Linked DNA regions of Saccharomyces cerevisiae S288C. The protein of the gene in region 1 binds, or shares a complex with, the protein of each later gene. Each region holds a gene or a part of one and is shown on either strand. Other genes may lie near its edges.

The links.
Region 2: SPP382 (region 1) and NTR2 share a complex: the UniProt entries of both Saccharomyces cerevisiae proteins name them as parts of the NTR complex.

What each region holds. Positions count from the first base shown.
Region 1 is NC_001144.5:969,512-979,600, reverse strand, and holds SPP382 (mRNA splicing protein SPP382), read right to left. Parts: upstream 6,207-10,089; coding exon 4,080-6,206; downstream 1-4,079. Other genes in the region: protein kinase regulatory subunit ATG17, read left to right, coding at 6,431-7,684; guanine nucleotide exchange factor DCK1, read right to left, coding at 7,906-10,089. UniProt on the Saccharomyces cerevisiae protein: Involved in pre-mRNA splicing and spliceosome disassembly. Promotes release of excised lariat intron from the spliceosome by acting as a receptor for PRP43.
Region 2 is NC_001143.9:477,776-486,669, forward strand, and holds NTR2 (Ntr2p), read right to left. Parts: upstream 5,365-8,894; coding exon 4,396-5,364; downstream 1-4,395. Other genes in the region: IRS4 (Irs4p), read right to left, coding at 1-288; VPS51 (Vps51p), read left to right, coding at 563-1,057; ALY1 (Aly1p), read left to right, coding at 1,459-4,206; RQT4 (Rqt4p), read left to right, coding at 5,644-7,236; DBP7 (putative ATP-dependent RNA helicase), read right to left, coding at 7,369-8,894. UniProt on the Saccharomyces cerevisiae protein: Involved in pre-mRNA splicing and spliceosome disassembly. Promotes release of excised lariat intron from the spliceosome by acting as a receptor for PRP43.

The DNA.
Region 1 (10,089 bases):
CCGAAGTATTCAGAAGTCTCTTAAGAAGAATGCAGTTACATATTTGAAAGAATCGGATATTGAATGGTCTAACGCTAGCACATATCAATGTCCTGACTGTCTAATCGGCAAAAGCACGAAACATAGGCATGTCAAAGGATCACGACTAAAGTACCAAGAATCATATGAGCCTTTTCAGTACTTGCATACCGATATATTTGGTCCTGTACATCACTTACCGAAAAGTGCACCTTCTTACTTTATATCGTTTACAGATGAGAAAACCAGATTCCAATGGGTGTACCCATTACACGACCGTCGTGAAGAATCTATCCTCAATGTTTTTACATCGATATTAGCATTTATTAAGAACCAATTCAATGCTCGCGTTCTAGTTATCCAGATGGATCGTGGCTCCGAGTACACTAACAAAACTCTTCATAAGTTCTTTACGAACAGAGGTATTACTGCATGCTATACAACCACGGCAGATTCTAGAGCACACGGTGTCGCTGAACGATTAAATCGTACTTTATTAAACGATTGTCGCACACTGCTTCATTGCAGTGGTCTACCAAATCATCTATGGTTCTCAGCAGTCGAATTTTCTACTATAATCAGAAATTCATTAGTCTCACCAAAAAACGATAAATCTGCAAGACAACATGCAGGTTTAGCTGGACTGGACATTACTACTATACTACCTTTCGGTCAACCGGTTATAGTTAACAACCATAATCCCGACTCGAAAATACATCCTCGTGGCATTCCAGGTTACGCCTTACATCCATCACGAAACTCTTATGGCTATATTATCTATCTTCCATCCTTAAAAAAGACAGTAGATACTACCAATTACGTTATATTACAAAACAAGCAAACGAAATTGGACCAGTTCGACTACGATACACTCACTTTTGATGATGATCTCAATCGTTTAACAGCCCATAACCAATCTTTTATTGAACAAAATGAAACAGAGCAGTCATATGATCAAAATAAAGAATCTGATCATGACTATCAATCGGAGATTGAAATAAACTCTGATCCTCTAGTGAACGACTTCTCGTCCCAATCAATAAACCCTTTACAATTAGACAAGGAACCAGTCCAAAAAGTACGTGCACCAAAAGAAGTTGATGCCGACATATCTGAATACAATATTCTTCCATCTACTATACGATCTCGTACACCCCATATCATTAATAAAGAGAGTACCGAAATGGGTGGTACCGTTGAATCAGATACTACTTCACCTAGACACTCGTCTACCTTCACTGCACGAAACCAAAACCGACCTGGTAGTACCAATGAGATGATTGATTTGACCTCACAGGATAGAGTTAATTATGGACTTGAAAACATCAAAACTACACGTTTGGGTGGTACGGAGGAACCATATATTCAACGAAATAGTGATACAAATATCAAATACAGGACTACAAATAGTACGCCCTCAATAGATGACCGTTCGTCCAACAGTGAATCCACTACTCCCATCATCTCCATAGAAACAAAGGCTGTATGTGATAATACACCCTCCATTGATACGGATCCGCCAGAATATCGATCTTCTGACCATGCGACTCCTAATATAATGCCTGACAAATCCTCAAAAAATGTTACGGCTGATTCTATTCTTGACGACCTCCCACTTCCTGACTTAACCCATAAATCTCCTACGGACACTTCTGATGTTTCAAAAGATATTCCACACATACACTCTCGTCAGACTAATTCCAGTTTGGGTGGTATGGATGATTCTAATGTTCTGACTACTACCAAAAGTAAGAAAAGATCATTAGAAGATAATGAAACTGAAATTGAGGTATCCCGAGACACATGGAATAATAAGAATATGAGAAGTCTGGAACCACCAAGATCGAAGAAACGCATAAATTTAATTGCAGCAATAAAAGGAGTGAAATCGATCAAACCAGTTCGAACGACCTTAAGATATGATGAAGCAATTACATATAATAAAGACAACAAAGAAAAAGACAGATATGTTGAAGCTTATCATAAAGAAATTAGCCAACTATTGAAAATGAACACTTGGGATACAAACAAATATTATGATAGAAATGACATAGATCCTAAAAAAGTAATAAACTCAATGTTTATATTTAACAAGAAACGTGATGGTACACACAAAGCTAGATTTGTTGCAAGAAGCGACATTCAACACCCCGATACATATGATTCTGATATGCAATCCAATACCGTACATCACTATGCACTGATGACGTCATTGTCAATCGCATTAGACAATGACTATTATATCACACAGCTGGACATATCCTCTGCTTACTTATATGCTGATATCAAAGAAGAATTATACATAAGACCTCCACCACATTTAGGTTTGAATGATAAGTTACTACGTTTGAGAAAATCACTCTATGGTTTGAAACAAAGTGGTGCAAACTGGTATGAAACCATTAAATCATATTTAATAAATTGTTGCGACATGCAAGAAGTTCGCGGATGGTCATGCGTATTTAAGAATAGTCAAGTAACAATTTGCTTATTCGTTGATGATATGATATTATTCAGCAAAGACTTAAATGCAAATAAGAAAATCATAACAACACTCAAGAAACAATACGATACAAAGATAATAAATCTGGGTGAAGGTGATAACGAAATTCAGTACGACATACTTGGATTAGAGATCAAATATCAAAGAAGCAAGTACATGAAATTAGGTATGGAAAAATCCTTGACAGAAAAATTACCCAAACTAAACGTACCTTTGAACCCAAAAGGAAAGAAACTTAGAGCTCCAGGTCAACCAGGTCATTATATAGACCAGGATGAACTAGAAATAAATGAAGAGAAATTTAGAAACAGATTTTTTGGCACAAAGGCAATGAGACTTAGAGATGAAGTATCAGGTAATAATTTATACGTATACTACATCGAGACCAAGAAGAACATTGCTGATGTGATGACAAAACCTCTTCCGATAAAAACATTTAAACTATTAACTAACAAATGGATTCATTAGATCTATTACATTATGGGTGGTATGTTGGAATAAAAATCAACTATCATCTACTAACTAGTATTTACGTTACTAGTATATTATCATATACGGTGTTAGAAGATGACGCAAATGATGAGAAATAGTCATCTAAATTAGTGGAAGCTGAAACGCAAGGATTGATAATGTAATAGGATCAATGAATATTAACATATAAAATGATGATAATAATATTTATAGAATTGTGTAGAATTGCAGATTCCCTTTTATGGATTCCTAAATCCTCGAGGAGAACTTCTAGTATATCTACATACCTAATATTATAGCCTTAATCACAATGGAATCCCAACAATTACATCAAAATCCACATACTCTACAAATTTAAAGAAGTTTAACTCCAACAATAGCCGTTACTAACAAGAATCCCAAAAAGTATCAAATTATTCGCTGATTCTTCAAAACTATTTGAAAAAAAAAATCTCACATTTTTGATATTCCAACATAAGTAATTGAAGGTCAATGATAGAAGCTATCAATAATATTATATAATTTTTAACTCAGCAGATATCGGAAATAAAAGACTCCATGGCCAAGTTGGTTAAGGCGTGCGACTGTTAATCGCAAGATCGTGAGTTCAACCCTCACTGGGGTCGTTTATTTTTTTTGCATTAAATTATTTAGTGAGCTAAAAACTCCATTAAAATAGTAATCGTATAAACTAATATCAAGTGAAGCTGACTACTTGATTAGGCTCACTACTTAGCCACATTCGGGCTTTCTTCTGTCTTTCTTGGAAAATAACAGCTCCATTTGATCTTGATATAAAAAAGGTCCTTTGATCCCATCCGAAACTCGTTTCCTTCTGCCACAACTCTTAACAGTCTAACTACGAGAGTCTAGCGAAGTATAAAAGTTTAAACAATAAATTTTGGAAACATTTCAAGGGCAAAATACCAACAACTATCAAATAAGGGGAATTAATAGACTCCACTTTAAATTAATCCATTGTCTAAAAATGGTAATGCAATTATTATTTATTTAGTAATCTAATCAATTTTGTTTTTCGACAATAATATATAAATCGTGCCTATCTCACCTCTTTTATAGGTACTTTCTAGAGGTCAAGGGCCCATAAATAAATTGGCTTAAAGGTCCCACTGGAATCCTCCACCCAAAGAATATCATGTTTCAAAGCAACTTCCATTTTTTTCTTCCCGTTTCGGATCTCAAATAAAGGAACTATACAATCTTGGTCTCTTCCATATGGCAGTTGAGTGTACCTATTTGGTATTTTGCTGATCAAGTACCCTTTTTCCAGGCAGTAGTCTTCTACCACATCCTTGAAAGAGCTGCTAACTTTTCCAAGCGGAATATTTTGTACAGTATAGGTAGGTTCTTGTTCGCTTTGACTAATATCGTCGATCACTTGTGTTTCCATTAAGTTTCGTAAACCCTGTCTCAAATCGAAATCTTCATCTAATGTAGATTTATCAAGGTGGTACCTATGAGACATAGCGAATATATTATAGCTTTTTCTGATCTCCGATAGTTCTATTTCTGTTGGTAAAGAGTGCTCAAATACCGTATTCATCAGCCAATTAAGCCACCACTTTGACTTGTGTAAGTCTTCCACTGTACTATAAAGATGCCATTGATAGAGTATTTTGTTTATATTATTAAAGGTTCCCCGCATCATCAATTCATACTGTTTTGGATGAAAATAATGGGTATAACTTCTCAGTTTTTTCATAAAATAGAAAAATCCAGAATCTTTTTCTTTCCATTCCTGTTTTTCCTTCCAATCCTCTAACTCGTAGATGGGGTCATTATGTCTTTCCCACAGCTCGTCCAGGAATTTAGGAAGAAACTCTTTACATAAAATTTTGTAATATCTTCGTTCGCAGATAAGTTCTTTGATAAATATAATATCAGAATTAGTGATACAAAATGATTCCCTATGGTACCAATTTTTACAATAAGCAAAAAATTTTGCTTCAATCTTGTCCACAATTGTGTCTTTGATCTTATCGTCAATTAAAACCATAAAATCCAAGACCCATATTCTTGGCGAAACATGGTCTACTTCATCGTGAAGTTCCCAATTATCTAATTCCTGTAATAGCTTTGGATAGACGAATTCCTCCATGATATGCTCTTTACACCCGATAAAACTTAGCACTTGTTGGAAATCCAGTAATAGGGTGATAGCGCTGTCGATTTTTGATTTAGTCATATCAAACCCTTCCCAAAATTTTTTGAGTTTGGGATATATAACTTTAAAGATTGTTGTTTGTGTCCTGTTCAAAAATTTCGAAGTTGTATCCATTCTATATGCGAGTAGTTCTATAATTTGCGTTAACTCATCAAGTATATCGTTTGGCTTTTCTAAATGATCCAAATCAAATTCTATTAGTAATTCTTTTCTCAATAAGCAGGACGTTAGCCTATCTATGAGCTCGTCGTCGGACAATTTTAAAATAGCACCAATCTTATCATACAGGGAAACATGCTTGCTTTCGTCCCTCAAAGTAACCTCCAATTCAGAAAGAAGCCTCTCTTGTCCATAATATTCTTTGACTTGCACTTCTAACGGAGAGGTGCGCTGACGAATAGCTTCCAAACTTTTTTCAATACCCAGCAGCTCTTGCAATATCTCCACAACAACATCTTTTTTCGGCTTTGGTACTGCATTTAAAGGGTCTAATTCTTTTAGGATACTCTCTGGTAATTGTACCCCTGCTAACCTCAATTCTCTCAGTGTTCGCACTATAGTCATATCACCACTATCATTTAACAACGCTTCGCCTAAAACCTCCGTGGAGGTTTTATTGAATTTGACTTGTTCTATACCTTCAACCACCTCATCCTCAGAGCTCAAGTAATCCTCATTTTCACTGTGATAGTTACTGGAGTTGGTATTTGAAAACATTCCTAGACCTGCATTGTGCATAGGTCGGCTTTGGGTTTCTATTGGTGTAGTTATACCAGAACCATCCTTCCCAAGGCCTTTTCCCGCAACATATCCCATACTCGAAAGTAACTTCGCACCAATACCATATGTCTTCGTTAATTTTGAGATCGTTGGGGCATTGCCGCTACTAGTTTTCAAGGCATCATTAGTGTATGTCATGTCACTATTCATGCTTGAATTATTATCTTCCTCATCGCTATAATTATAGGAATCGATTCTTCTTTTTTTGAAAAAGAACTTTTTATCTGTGTTGGAGTCCGAATCCTCCATGTTTTGGCGTACTGAAGGCTTAAGTTCTTCGACCTCTCTCGGTTGTACTATTTCGAAATTTTGGATTTTTGTTATTGTTTTGACATAATGTAAATACTAGATGCGCGCTCTAAGGCCTCAGTATTAAAAATTGCAAGATATCCCTAACTTGATAATTATTTGAAAGTCGCATAACGTACGATAAATTCGATACTGCGAGGATATTATCAACGTATTTAACACCTATGAACGAAGCAGATGTTACAAAATTTGTTAATAATGCCAGGAAAACGCTGACCGATGCTCAACTTTTATGTTCAAGTGCTAATTTAAGGATTGTAGATATTAAGAAAAAATTGTCATCTTGGCAGTTGAGTATTTCAAAACTCAATTTTCTAATAGTTGGCTTGAGACAGCAAGGAAAGTTTCTTTACACTATTTTAAAGGAAGGCATTGGGACAAAGCTAATCCAGAAACAATGGAATCAAGCTGTCTTAGTGGTCTTAGTTGATGAGATGAAGTACTGGCAATATGAAATCACTTCTAAAGTACAAAGGTTGGATGGTATAGTAAATGAATTGAGCATATCAGAAAAAGATGATACCGATCCCTCTAAACTAGGAGATTACATCTCGAGAGACAACGTTAACTTATTGAATGACAAACTGAAAGAAGTGCCAGTAATTGAGCGTCAAATTGAAAACATTAAGCTTCAATACGAAAATATGGTCAGAAAAGTTAACAAAGAACTGATTGATACCAAGTTGACGGACGTAACTCAAAAATTCCAAAGTAAATTTGGTATAGATAACCTGATGGAAACAAATGTTGCAGAGCAGTTTAGCAGGGAACTAACGGACCTTGAAAAAGATTTAGCAGAGATAATGAATTCATTGACACAGCACTTTGATAAGACATTGCTGTTACAAGATAAAAAAATTGATAACGATGAACGTGAGGAGCTGTTTAAGGTGGTACAAGGCGACGACAAAGAACTATACAACATTTTCAAAACTCTGCATGAGGTAATTGATGACGTGGACAAAACAATTCTTAACTTGGGTCAATTTTTGCAGGCAAAAATAAAGGAAAAGACAGAACTACACAGCGAAGTTTCTGAAATAATAAACGATTTCAATAGAAATTTGGAATATCTATTAATCTTTAAAGATATTTCCAATCTGATTGATAGCTTCAAAAATTCCTGTACACAAGATATTCAAACAACTAAGGAACTTTGTGAATTTTATGATAATTTTGAAGAAAGCTACGGTAACTTAGTTCTAGAAGCAAAGAGGAGAAAGGATGTGGCAAACAGAATGAAAACTATATTGAAAGATTGTGAAAAGCAGTTGCAGAATTTAGATGCTCAGGACCAGGAAGAACGTCAGAATTTTATAGCGGAAAATGGAACTTATCTTCCTGAGACAATCTGGCCCGGTAAAATTGACGATTTTTCTTCCCTGTACACTTTAAATTACAACGTGAAGAATCCTTAGAAAAAAGGAAAAAAAGGATACGGTACAAAGATTCAATAATTGTATCAATATTTCGAAAAATACTTTATCAAAAAAGCAATACTTGAAGGAGAAAGGAAAAAATTCGCTGTCTTCTTCACTTTTACGACAAAGAAAAATGTGCCCTTTTCAACTAAAAGTCATGAATGAATAAATAAATGATTACATATGCGTATATTTTATAGTGAACAACTTCTGACATATTATCCCGAATGTGAGTAATCATGCTTGTGCTGTGAATCTGTGTTGGTGTTTGGCTGTGACCCTGCCAAAAAGGTGCTCGAAGTGCCGGAAACAATTCCACTTTTATCCAAACTGCTCGTAGTGGACGAGTGGGATAACGTTCTTGTTAAATATTTTCCAAAAAGTAAACTGTTTGGGCCAAATGAGTCGCTATGTTCTAATACAAATTGGCTATGATTGGACCCTGAGGTGTGATGATCCCTTCCAGAAAAGCTTGCCTTTTTATTGGGGTTCTTGTGCGAAATTATTCGAGCAGTAATCATGTTATTCCTGCTACGATTGGCCTCACTGAGAGTACGACTATATCTTTCTATCTCCTCAGCGAAATTTTCCTCAAAAAGACGCACTAGAAGATCATGTGATGGTTTTAGATCCTTTGATGGTAGTAGTTCTGCATGCAACGTTAGACAGCGACCTAATACTGCAACAAGCTCATCAAAAGCTAGCGTCAATCTTCCTAAATCATCAGTACTGAACTGCTTGGATGTGGAGGGTTCTAAAAAGGCCTTGTACTGTGATATGCCTCCATTAACTGGAGCTGATATTGTTCCCGTAATATTTGTAGAAAGCTCGGTAAATAAATCGTTCACATCACCGTGGTCCTTCAGAGTTTTATTGCACATGTTTTCAAGCCCATATAACTCCTGTATTTTAACTTGTAAGGAACGAATTGCATTTTCAAGTGGAGAAAGTTTGCTCTTCGTAACCTTTACAATTTCTGATCTATTCATTAGTGTTGGAAAAGTATTCATAGTATGATACGTATATTCCTCCACCCACAGGTCAGTGACTCCTTTTGCGCCTGGCAAACGTCGAGAATTACTGAAAGTCCTCAAATCTCTATTCTCAATGTACATCCGCACTTTGTTGTTAATTGAGCTTTTCTTGTCACTACTGTTGTAATTATCGGATATACTTAAGCACGGTTCGACGGAAGCTACATGAATGTATTTTCCCATTGGAGGATTCATCAATAACATATCCACTTCTTCTTGTGAGTGTACAATATTTGACCCATGATAGCTTCGTAGAAGCCTGTCATGCATAGACGTAATGTGTTCAAATGGGAGACCCTCAAAGACGAACGATTTATTTCTTAATGATTTTGGAAAACCAAATCCCATGAAAGAAACTTTAAAATACGTTGGAACCAGTCTATCAATGGACTGTAATCTGGTATAAATGCCTGCTATTTGGTCATGTACAAAGGCCAGCCCGTTTAAATCATAATTGATCTCATCGTAGGCTTTTATCAAGTCCTTGTATACCGCTAAAGCTTTTTCTGGTTTTTGGCCTCTCGAAAAGTTTCTTGCGGATTCCTTAAGAAGATATTCCTTCCTCTCAAATGAAGATTGCTCTGGCAATGGCGGGAAAGATATTGCTTCAAGAGTATCATTAGAATCCCAAGCGTACGTACCTGCCAAGAGTTCTAGACTCAAAGCTGCTTGAACAAAGTCTTTTTTCTGAATAAAGTGGATAAACAAATCATATATCATTTTATGAAACAACTCTGGCCTGTTTGCTTCTAGCAAGTACTCGAACATCTCTATGTGCCGAGCAGTCCGATCATCATCAAATTCTTCTTGATTAGGTATTTTGTAGATTTCATTTACAATATGCAAAAAACCAAGTAAATCTCTTAAGAAATCCATACAAGCAGGAAAAAAGGTGTCAGAATCGGGAACGTGCATCATAAAAAACAAACAAGAAACAAACCTTTCCAATTCGTAATCATTCAAACGAAGCTTCCCGATTTGGTATGCGCTGAATAATTCTGGGATACATGCGTTCACTGCTGGTTGTAGGGACCCAAATATCCTCCAAAAATTTAGCCCTAATCCCCATAGTATTTTGCAACAAATTCTTGTTGCATCGATATGTCTATGGAAAGCAAAAATAAAGATCTCACGTATCAAAAATTGATTATGAACAAACAATTCAAATTGGCAATCACTCAAGGCTCCTAATCCATACTTTTTAGCATAAGTGATATTATAGTGCCCAGTGGCTAGGGCATCCCAACATTCATTTAGGATATATGCTGAAATTTTTTTCAGGTCACCCGATATCAAATAAACGGCCTTACGTGGAGTAATAGCTAACTTAGTCAAGGATGCACTTTTATGGTTTGAAACTAGTAGTAT
Region 2 (8,894 bases), on another chromosome or scaffold:
AGACAACTCAACATCATTAGGCGCCGTTGTTTTAATCTTAGGTACCTGTTTTGTTCGTATGCGTGCCTTCTTTTGTTCTTGTTTCCGCCCTGACTTTTGTAGCGATGGCTCTGATAACCTAGTTTGAGGATTCCTGCTCACCGTTACTGGAGGGCATGGACTGCTGACCTCATTGGAATGGTTCTGGAAGATAGCTTGCGCAGCGCGAAGGGAATCTGAAGCTCCTTGTTCAGTCAAAGTTACTGTTGTACCGCCATGATAACGCTGTTTACCAAACGAAAGTCTCATACTCCTCTGCTAATCTTTTCCTATGTCAAAAAAATGAATCTACCCAGGCCTTAAAAGTATGTTCTACCTGTGCAACGAGAGTGTTGTTGTGGCAAGGGTCCATTACACAATGGGCCTTTTTGTGATGATTCAACTTCGATATGCTTTATACGAGAAATCATCGAATTTTCGCTGCGTGGAAACAAGAGGCAGTAAGTTGTACGTATAGGTGAGGCTCTGCATAGAAGAGGCGTATTTGCGGTGAGACGGAATCTGACGAGGATATTAAGTACAGATGGCAGAACAAATTAGTCACAAAAAGTCCCTGAGGGTGAGCAGTCTGAACAAAGATAGAAGATTGCTCTTAAGAGAATTCTACAACTTGGAAAATGAACCGAATAAAGGTCGTCAAGAAGCACGTATAGGGGAAAAAGCCAGCGAGGCTCATTCTGGGGAGGAGCAAGTCACAGATGTGAATATAGATACCGAAGCAAACACTGAGAAACCAGTGAAAGATGACGAATTGAGTGCAACTGAAGAGGATCTCAAGGAGGGGTCAGAAGATGCAGAAGAAGAGATAAAGAACCTGCCCTTTAAGAGGCTAGTACAAATTCACAATAAGCTCTTGGGCAAAGAAACCGAGACTAACAATTCTATCAAGAATACCATTTACGAAAACTATTATGACCTAATAAAAGTCAACGACCTTCTCAAAGAAATTACAAACGCCAATGAAGACCAAATTAACAAGTTGAAGCAAACAGTAGAATCTTTAATCAAGGAACTGTAATTTCCAGCGGCATATCGTGGCTTTCACCGAACACTTCCTTCGAGAGAGTGCATTTTACTATGTGAACCAATTTTTCCTCTTTTTCGGTTTGCAAGTTCACCTGAAAAACTGCTTAACACTACTAGCAATTGCCCTATTGTCGTACGAGGACTTTGCCAAATGTATTCCCGGCTGTTTGTAGTATATATACGCAGATATATAATAGCGCCGTCTTTTTACCTCTTTGAGCGAATTGCCAAATATTGACTCTTTTGTCTTATTTCGCTATCCCCATCTTATCAAAAATGGGAACAACTCGTTGAAATAAGAGACAAGCAACAAGAAAGACAACCAACAGAAAGTTCCATTCCGCACAAATACGCTGGAATCCCATAGAATATTGCTTGTTCCTCTATGACTACATGCTCCAATTCAATACAGAAAATGATACTGTAGCTCCAGTGTTTCCCATGGAGCAAGATATAAATGCAGCACCTGATGCCGTCCCACTGGTGCAGACAACAACACTACAAGTCTTTGTAAAGCTTGCCGAACCCATAGTGTTTTTAAAAGGATTTGAAACTAACGGACTGTCTGAAATAGCCCCCAGTATCTTACGAGGATCTCTTATCGTCAGGGTGTTGAAACCGAATAAATTAAAAAGTATATCGATAACCTTCAAAGGAATATCCAGAACAGAGTGGCCGGAAGGTATACCACCGAAGAGAGAAGAATTTTCAGATGTTGAAACTGTTGTCAATCACACATGGCCATTTTATCAGGCGGATGACGGCATGAATTCTTTCACCTTAGAACATCACAGCTCAAATAATTCGTCCAATCGCCCATCTATGAGCGATGAAGATTATCTACTTGAAAAAAGCGGTGCTTCAGTATATATCCCACCAACCGCTGAACCCCCTAAAGATAATAGCAATCTAAGTCTGGATGCCTATGAGCGCAACTCATTGTCATCCGATAATTTGAGTAACAAGCCAGTATCAAGTGATGTTTCCCATGACGACAGTAAACTGTTGGCTATTCAAAAGACACCATTACCATCATCTAGTCGAAGAGGATCGGTACCGGCAAATTTTCACGGTAACTCTTTGTCACCTCATACCTTCATATCTGATTTGTTTACAAAAACATTCAGTAATAGTGGCGCTACTCCAAGTCCTGAGCAAGAGGATAACTATCTTACACCATCCAAAGATTCTAAAGAAGTTTTTATTTTTCGACCGGGCGATTATATTTACACTTTTGAACAGCCAATATCGCAATCTTATCCAGAAAGTATAAAAGCCAATTTTGGTTCCGTGGAGTATAAACTGTCAATAGACATAGAGAGGTTTGGCGCATTCAAATCAACTATACATACTCAATTACCCATCAAAGTCGTAAGGCTTCCTTCTGATGGATCCGTAGAAGAGACTGAAGCTATTGCAATTTCCAAGGACTGGAAAGATCTTCTTCATTATGACGTGGTAATTTTCTCGAAAGAGATCGTTTTGAATGCATTTTTACCCATCGATTTCCATTTCGCTCCTCTAGATAAAGTTACTCTGCATCGTATTAGAATTTATCTAACAGAGTCTATGGAATACACTTGTAATAGTAATGGAAATCACGAGAAGGCTCGTAGATTAGAGCCAACTAAAAAGTTTCTGTTGGCTGAACATAACGGTCCTAAACTGCCTCATATACCAGCTGGTTCGAATCCTTTGAAGGCTAAAAATAGAGGGAACATCCTCTTGGATGAAAAATCCGGCGATCTAGTTAACAAAGATTTTCAGTTCGAGGTGTTTGTCCCAAGCAAGTTTACAAACAGTATACGGTTACACCCTGATACAAATTATGATAAAATCAAAGCCCACCATTGGATAAAAATTTGCCTTCGTCTTTCCAAGAAGTACGGGGACAATAGAAAACATTTCGAAATAAGTATTGATTCTCCAATCCATATTTTAAATCAACTATGCTCACACGCGAATACTTTGCTACCGAGCTACGAGAGTCATTTCCAGTATTGTGATGAAGATGGTAATTTCGCACCAGCAGCAGATCAACAAAATTACGCAAGTCATCATGATTCCAATATTTTCTTCCCAAAAGAAGTTCTTTCGTCTCCCGTTCTTTCACCTAACGTGCAGAAGATGAACATTAGAATACCGTCTGATCTTCCAGTAGTGCGTAATAGAGCTGAAAGCGTAAAGAAAAGCAAGTCAGATAATACCTCCAAGAAGAATGATCAAAGTAGCAATGTCTTCGCATCCAAACAGCTGGTCGCAAACATTTATAAGCCCAATCAGATTCCAAGAGAATTAACTTCTCCTCAGGCGTTACCATTATCGCCCATCACCTCACCAATTCTCAATTACCAACCATTATCAAACTCCCCGCCTCCAGATTTTGATTTTGATCTAGCTAAGCGCGGCGCAGCCGATTCTCATGCTATTCCTGTGGATCCTCCATCATATTTTGATGTATTAAAGGCCGATGGGATTGAATTGCCATACTACGATACAAGTTCATCTAAAATTCCTGAACTAAAACTAAACAAATCTAGAGAGACATTGGCCAGCATTGAGGAGGACTCATTCAATGGTTGGTCTCAAATTGATGACTTATCCGACGAAGATGACAATGATGGCGATATAGCATCTGGTTTCAACTTCAAGCTGTCAACCAGTGCTCCGAGTGAGAACGTTAATTCACACACTCCTATTTTGCAGTCTTTAAACATGAGTCTTGATGGGAGAAAAAAAAATCGTGCCAGTCTACACGCAACATCAGTGTTACCTAGTACAATAAGACAGAACAATCAGCATTTCAATGACATAAACCAGATGCTAGGCAGTAGTGACGAAGATGCCTTTCCCAAAAGCCAATCATTAAATTTCAATAAGAAACTACCAATACTTAAAATTAATGATAACGTCATACAATCAAACAGCAATAGTAATAACAGAGTTGATAATCCAGAAGATACAGTGGATTCTTCAGTCGATATTACAGCATTTTATGATCCAAGAATGTCATCAGATTCCAAATTTGATTGGGAGGTAAGCAAGAACCATGTTGACCCAGCAGCCTACTCGGTTAACGTTGCTAGTGAAAACCGTGTACTGGACGACTTTAAGAAAGCATTTCGCGAAAAGAGAAAATAAGTACATTATTTTCATTCTCCGACAGAATTGCTACCATTTTACTTTGTGTCCTGTGATTCAATAGTGTACAATATATTGGACATTTTATAGTATACAAATATACACCATCAATCTATACATCCATATCACTTGTCGTAAAGATATCCCTTTTTAATAGTACAGCGATTAAAAAAATAACATGATTAACGTTCAGTTACCAATGAGCTTATTTATTAGGCTTGCTTTAGATTTTTCCAAGTCAATTTTTGTTTTTTCTAACGCTTGCAACCTCATCTCAACCTTCTTCCTTTGCAAGCAGATCTTCGAAACCATCTCGTTTATTCTCTCAATGCTGTTCCCACTTTCATCATCGTCTGGGAAAAGTACCGGTAAGGGCGTGATGATTTTCTCATTCGATTTGTTTATATTTCCTTTGCTTAAAAGCTGGGTTTCCCATTCTTCATTAGTTCTGTAGGGCACTTCATTTATGGCCTTCTCTATAATCTTTCTTTTAGAATCCTTTTGAATAGCAATTTGATTATCCGTGAGGGCTAGCATTTCGTCTTGAAAGCCTTGCATTTCATCGTCACTGAAGTTCGTAATCTCCTTTTCATTGTTACGTTTCAGACCACCATTTAATCTTATTGTCTCCATAATTTCGCGTTTATCCTCACTGTCCAACAATTTTACATAATCTCTTTCTGTTGTAACATCACTCTCACTAATTTTCCTTCTAGATAATGACTTCTGTGCTTTCAGTTTTGCAATTTCTCCTCGGGTTGGTATACTACTAATGTGCTCACCTTCGGAGCTACTGCCAGCCTCTGAAGAATCACTTAATAGATGATGATTCCCCTCCATCAAGTCCTCCATATTGAGAATTAGCAAATCATCTTTGTTTCGCGTCGATGCATTGGTATTTTTCTTTGAATGGTAAAGATCTTCATAATGCGAATTATCCTCCTTTATTGCTTGTTCGCCATCAAAGGTAATGTCGCGCTTAGGAACTTTTTTAAACTTTATTGGTTGTAATACACAAATGTCGTTGTCATCATCTTCAGAATCGTTCGACACTAGGGGCTTAATTTGCTGCATTGGCTTATGCGCAGAACCATCAATTCCAACCTCCTCAGGAGAACCACTTGGTAACCTAATTTTATTTCTTTTCTTGATCGCCATAATGTGTTCAAATGCTATAACATTGCTAGGCAGAACTTGACGTAACTCGACCAGTTATATTGCTTCTTCAAAGCACAAATTTATGATGATTGCTTTCAGTTATGAGGTTCATTTCGATATTCTTTATGATCTTCGCTTGCCGGGTATCGGACAAATATTGAAATATTATACAGCAAGAAAGAGGCATAAAGAGCCTGGCAGCAGCAAATAATGGCAAAGTGAACGTAGTCCGAGAAACAGTGGCTTAATTATTTAACCTTGGGTTTGCAGTAATTAATAATGACAAGAAAGCAGGCTATTGACTATGCAATCAAACAAGTTCCGCAAATATTGCCTTTGGAAGAGTCTGATGTAAAAGCGCTGTGCGAACAAGTACTGAGTACATCATCTGATGATCCAGAACAAATTGCTTCAAAATTTTTGGAGTTCCTAGGTCATGAAGATCTATCGTTTGAATTTGTAATGAAGTTCAATGAATTATTGAATCAGAATGATAAAAAAGAGGAAAAAAAAACGAAAAATGTGCATCTTGAACATACTGCCCCCACTTCATGGAAAAATGAATCAAAACAGCCCACTAATAACTATATCAATAAGAAGGGAGATGAAAAACCAAAAAAATTAAAGGATGAGAAGAAAAGCTCGACAACGAGGCCTACCGTTCAACCATCAAATCAATCTACGCAATCAAACCCCATAAAGGAGAAAAAAGAGCACAGATCAAAGGGGAAATTACAATCGTTACAAGAAATAGACGAAGCAATCAAGATGCTAGAGCTTCGAGATAGCGGTTCTTCTAAAAATTGTAATTGTCAAGGTACAAGGCATCCAGTTTTCGACATCGCGCCAAACTGTCTTCACTGTGGTAAAGTGGTTTGTGTTATAGAGGGATTGAATAAAGGTAAATGCGGTCATTGCCATGAACAGTTGATTTCTGATAACGAAAGAACCCAAATGGTAGAAATTTTAAATCAGGAAAAAAACGAACTAAACGGTTCATCATCGTCCTTATCCAATGCGTCAAATGGAGCTAATGTCCCAAAGAAGAAGACTAAAACCTACAAAATAACTTCCGGTATGGGTAAAAATTTATTTGCTGAACAGGACAAATTATTTGATTTCATCGAAAGGAAAAGAGAAAGAGAAAGAAAGCGTAATGAAGTGTTGAAATTGCAGGAGGAAAAAGAAGAGAGCGAAGCAAAGGAAAGACAAGCGAGCGAGCATGACCATAAAGCTGAGGAAAACCCGGAGTTGTTAGCAGCACAAGAACGATTAGATAGACTTTTATATTTCCAAGACACTTCGGCAGAAAGAACAAAAATTATTGATAATGCCAGCGATTTTGACATGAATCAGGAGGTGGGTTTATGGGGCAGCGCAAGAGAAAGAGCTCTTGCGTTGAAGAAGCAACAACGTAATTTGAGAAAGTGGGAAAAAGTAGAAAAGGAACGGAATGGCAGGCGCGAGAAGTACGTTGTTAGCATGAATATAGGTTCAAACGGTAAAGTTACTATGACAGAAGTCCCTAAGGATACAGAGAACGTAATTGCAGGTTCAGATGATGACATCAGTGATATAAGTGACGAAGAAGATATCAGCGACCTTAAACATATACACGCTCTGAAAAGTGAAATAAATACAACGAAATCCTTGGAGAATTTGCATTTACAGTCCAAAGCATGGGATTACGAACGTGATAAAAAACAATTCGATAGGCCTACGTATGTGAAAAAAAATTCAGATACTGCACAACAGAATAGAAAAACGGAAGAAAAGGCTCACGACATGCAAGCTTATGATTTAAAGTCAAGAGTACAAGTGGACCAAAATGCAGACGCATCAGTAGAACAGAATATTCTTGCTGTACTTTGATGAATGGTAAAAGTTTATATTATATATGATAGAGGATATAACCGTTATTCATTTTCTGTAGATTTTATCATTTTCTTTGTCTTCATAGTATACAATTTTTTTTTATATGAATTAATGCTTGTTCTTGTCTATTTAGTAGTTAAACTCACTTGCTATTTGCTTCTCTGCCATACGAGCCATACGAAACATTTTATTTTTAGAGTTTTCCTTAGTTGGCTTCTTTTCACTATTACCATCCTTACTACTTTGCAATCCCATAGCCTTTGGCCTTTCACGTAACCCAAAACTTTTAGCTAAATGGCCTAGATGTAAGAACTTCACGTTGAAAAACTTCTTTTCTTGAGAGATATGCGTTGCGTAAGCCCTCACATGACTAATGAAACCTTTAACGGCCAAATTTTTGAATGCGGAATCTCCCACTACTCGTCTTTCTATATTCAAATGCCATGTCGTAGCATTGGTATCCCACTCATATTCTTTATCGCCCACGTCTTTATTTTTGGACGATTTCTCATCTTTTCTAATGAATTTATCATTTCTGTTGACATTCACATCTTTGAAAGCCGGCATTAGTATTTCTTTATCGAATTTCAGTAATTCCCAACCCATCGGATGATACGGCTGGATATAGTCCATATATTTTTCTTCTTCGCCAGGAAGTAAAAATAACAAACTTTCACCCTTCTCACCGGCCCTTGCTGTACGACCAACTCTATGTAAATGGTCTTCAACAGCAAATGGTGGATCCAACTCAATAACAGATCCAACGTGGGGAAGGTCTAGGCCTCTACTTGCGACATCTGTACAGAACATAATAAGATGTTTTCCCTTGGTGGCTTCATTATCACGAGCAAAATGCTGCAATGTAGAGGTTCTCATTTGTTGGGATAAAGAACCGTGCAATTTATAAATCACTACATCTGGGTCCCTAGAATCTGAAAAACAAGGAAACATAGTGTTTCCTTTTGTCAATAGTCTTACAGAATCACCCGTTAGATTTTTATGGTGCCCGTCACTTCCTGAAAATGCGTCATAATGAAACTCCACGCTGTCTGAACATGATACGAATACGATTGTACGCAGCGTTTTGGACTGTTGACCGGAAGCGATGAAATCTTTGGTAATGTTGTTCAAAGTAGCAGCTAATGTTACAAGACGCAACTTTGGTGGGACAATAGTAATCCTCTGCAATAGTTGATCGGGCGCAACCGTTACTATATCAGAATCTTTCTTGGTACCGTTGCTAATCAATTTGTAATCTTTCAACGCCACGTTTCTTAACCTATTAACACCATCAGTAAGTGTAGCACTACATAACATGTGCACTAACTTATGCGGTAGCTTGGGAAATTTTTCGGAGTTGATGGGAATATCGTGAACAATTTTAATAATTTCACTGATCGTCTCATCAAAACCCAATTCCATTAACTTATCTCCTTCATCCAATACGATATACCTTAGAGATTGACTCAATTGCTCCTTGATAACTTTTGTATTTTGTAAATGATCCAAAACACGACCTGGTGTACCGATTATGAAATTGCAACCCTTACGCAATCTAGCTTTTTCTGATTTCTTACGTTCTCCACCAATCAATAAACATGGGACCAAGTAGTGACAACATGACACAAGCGTGGAACAAACATGATATATTTGTG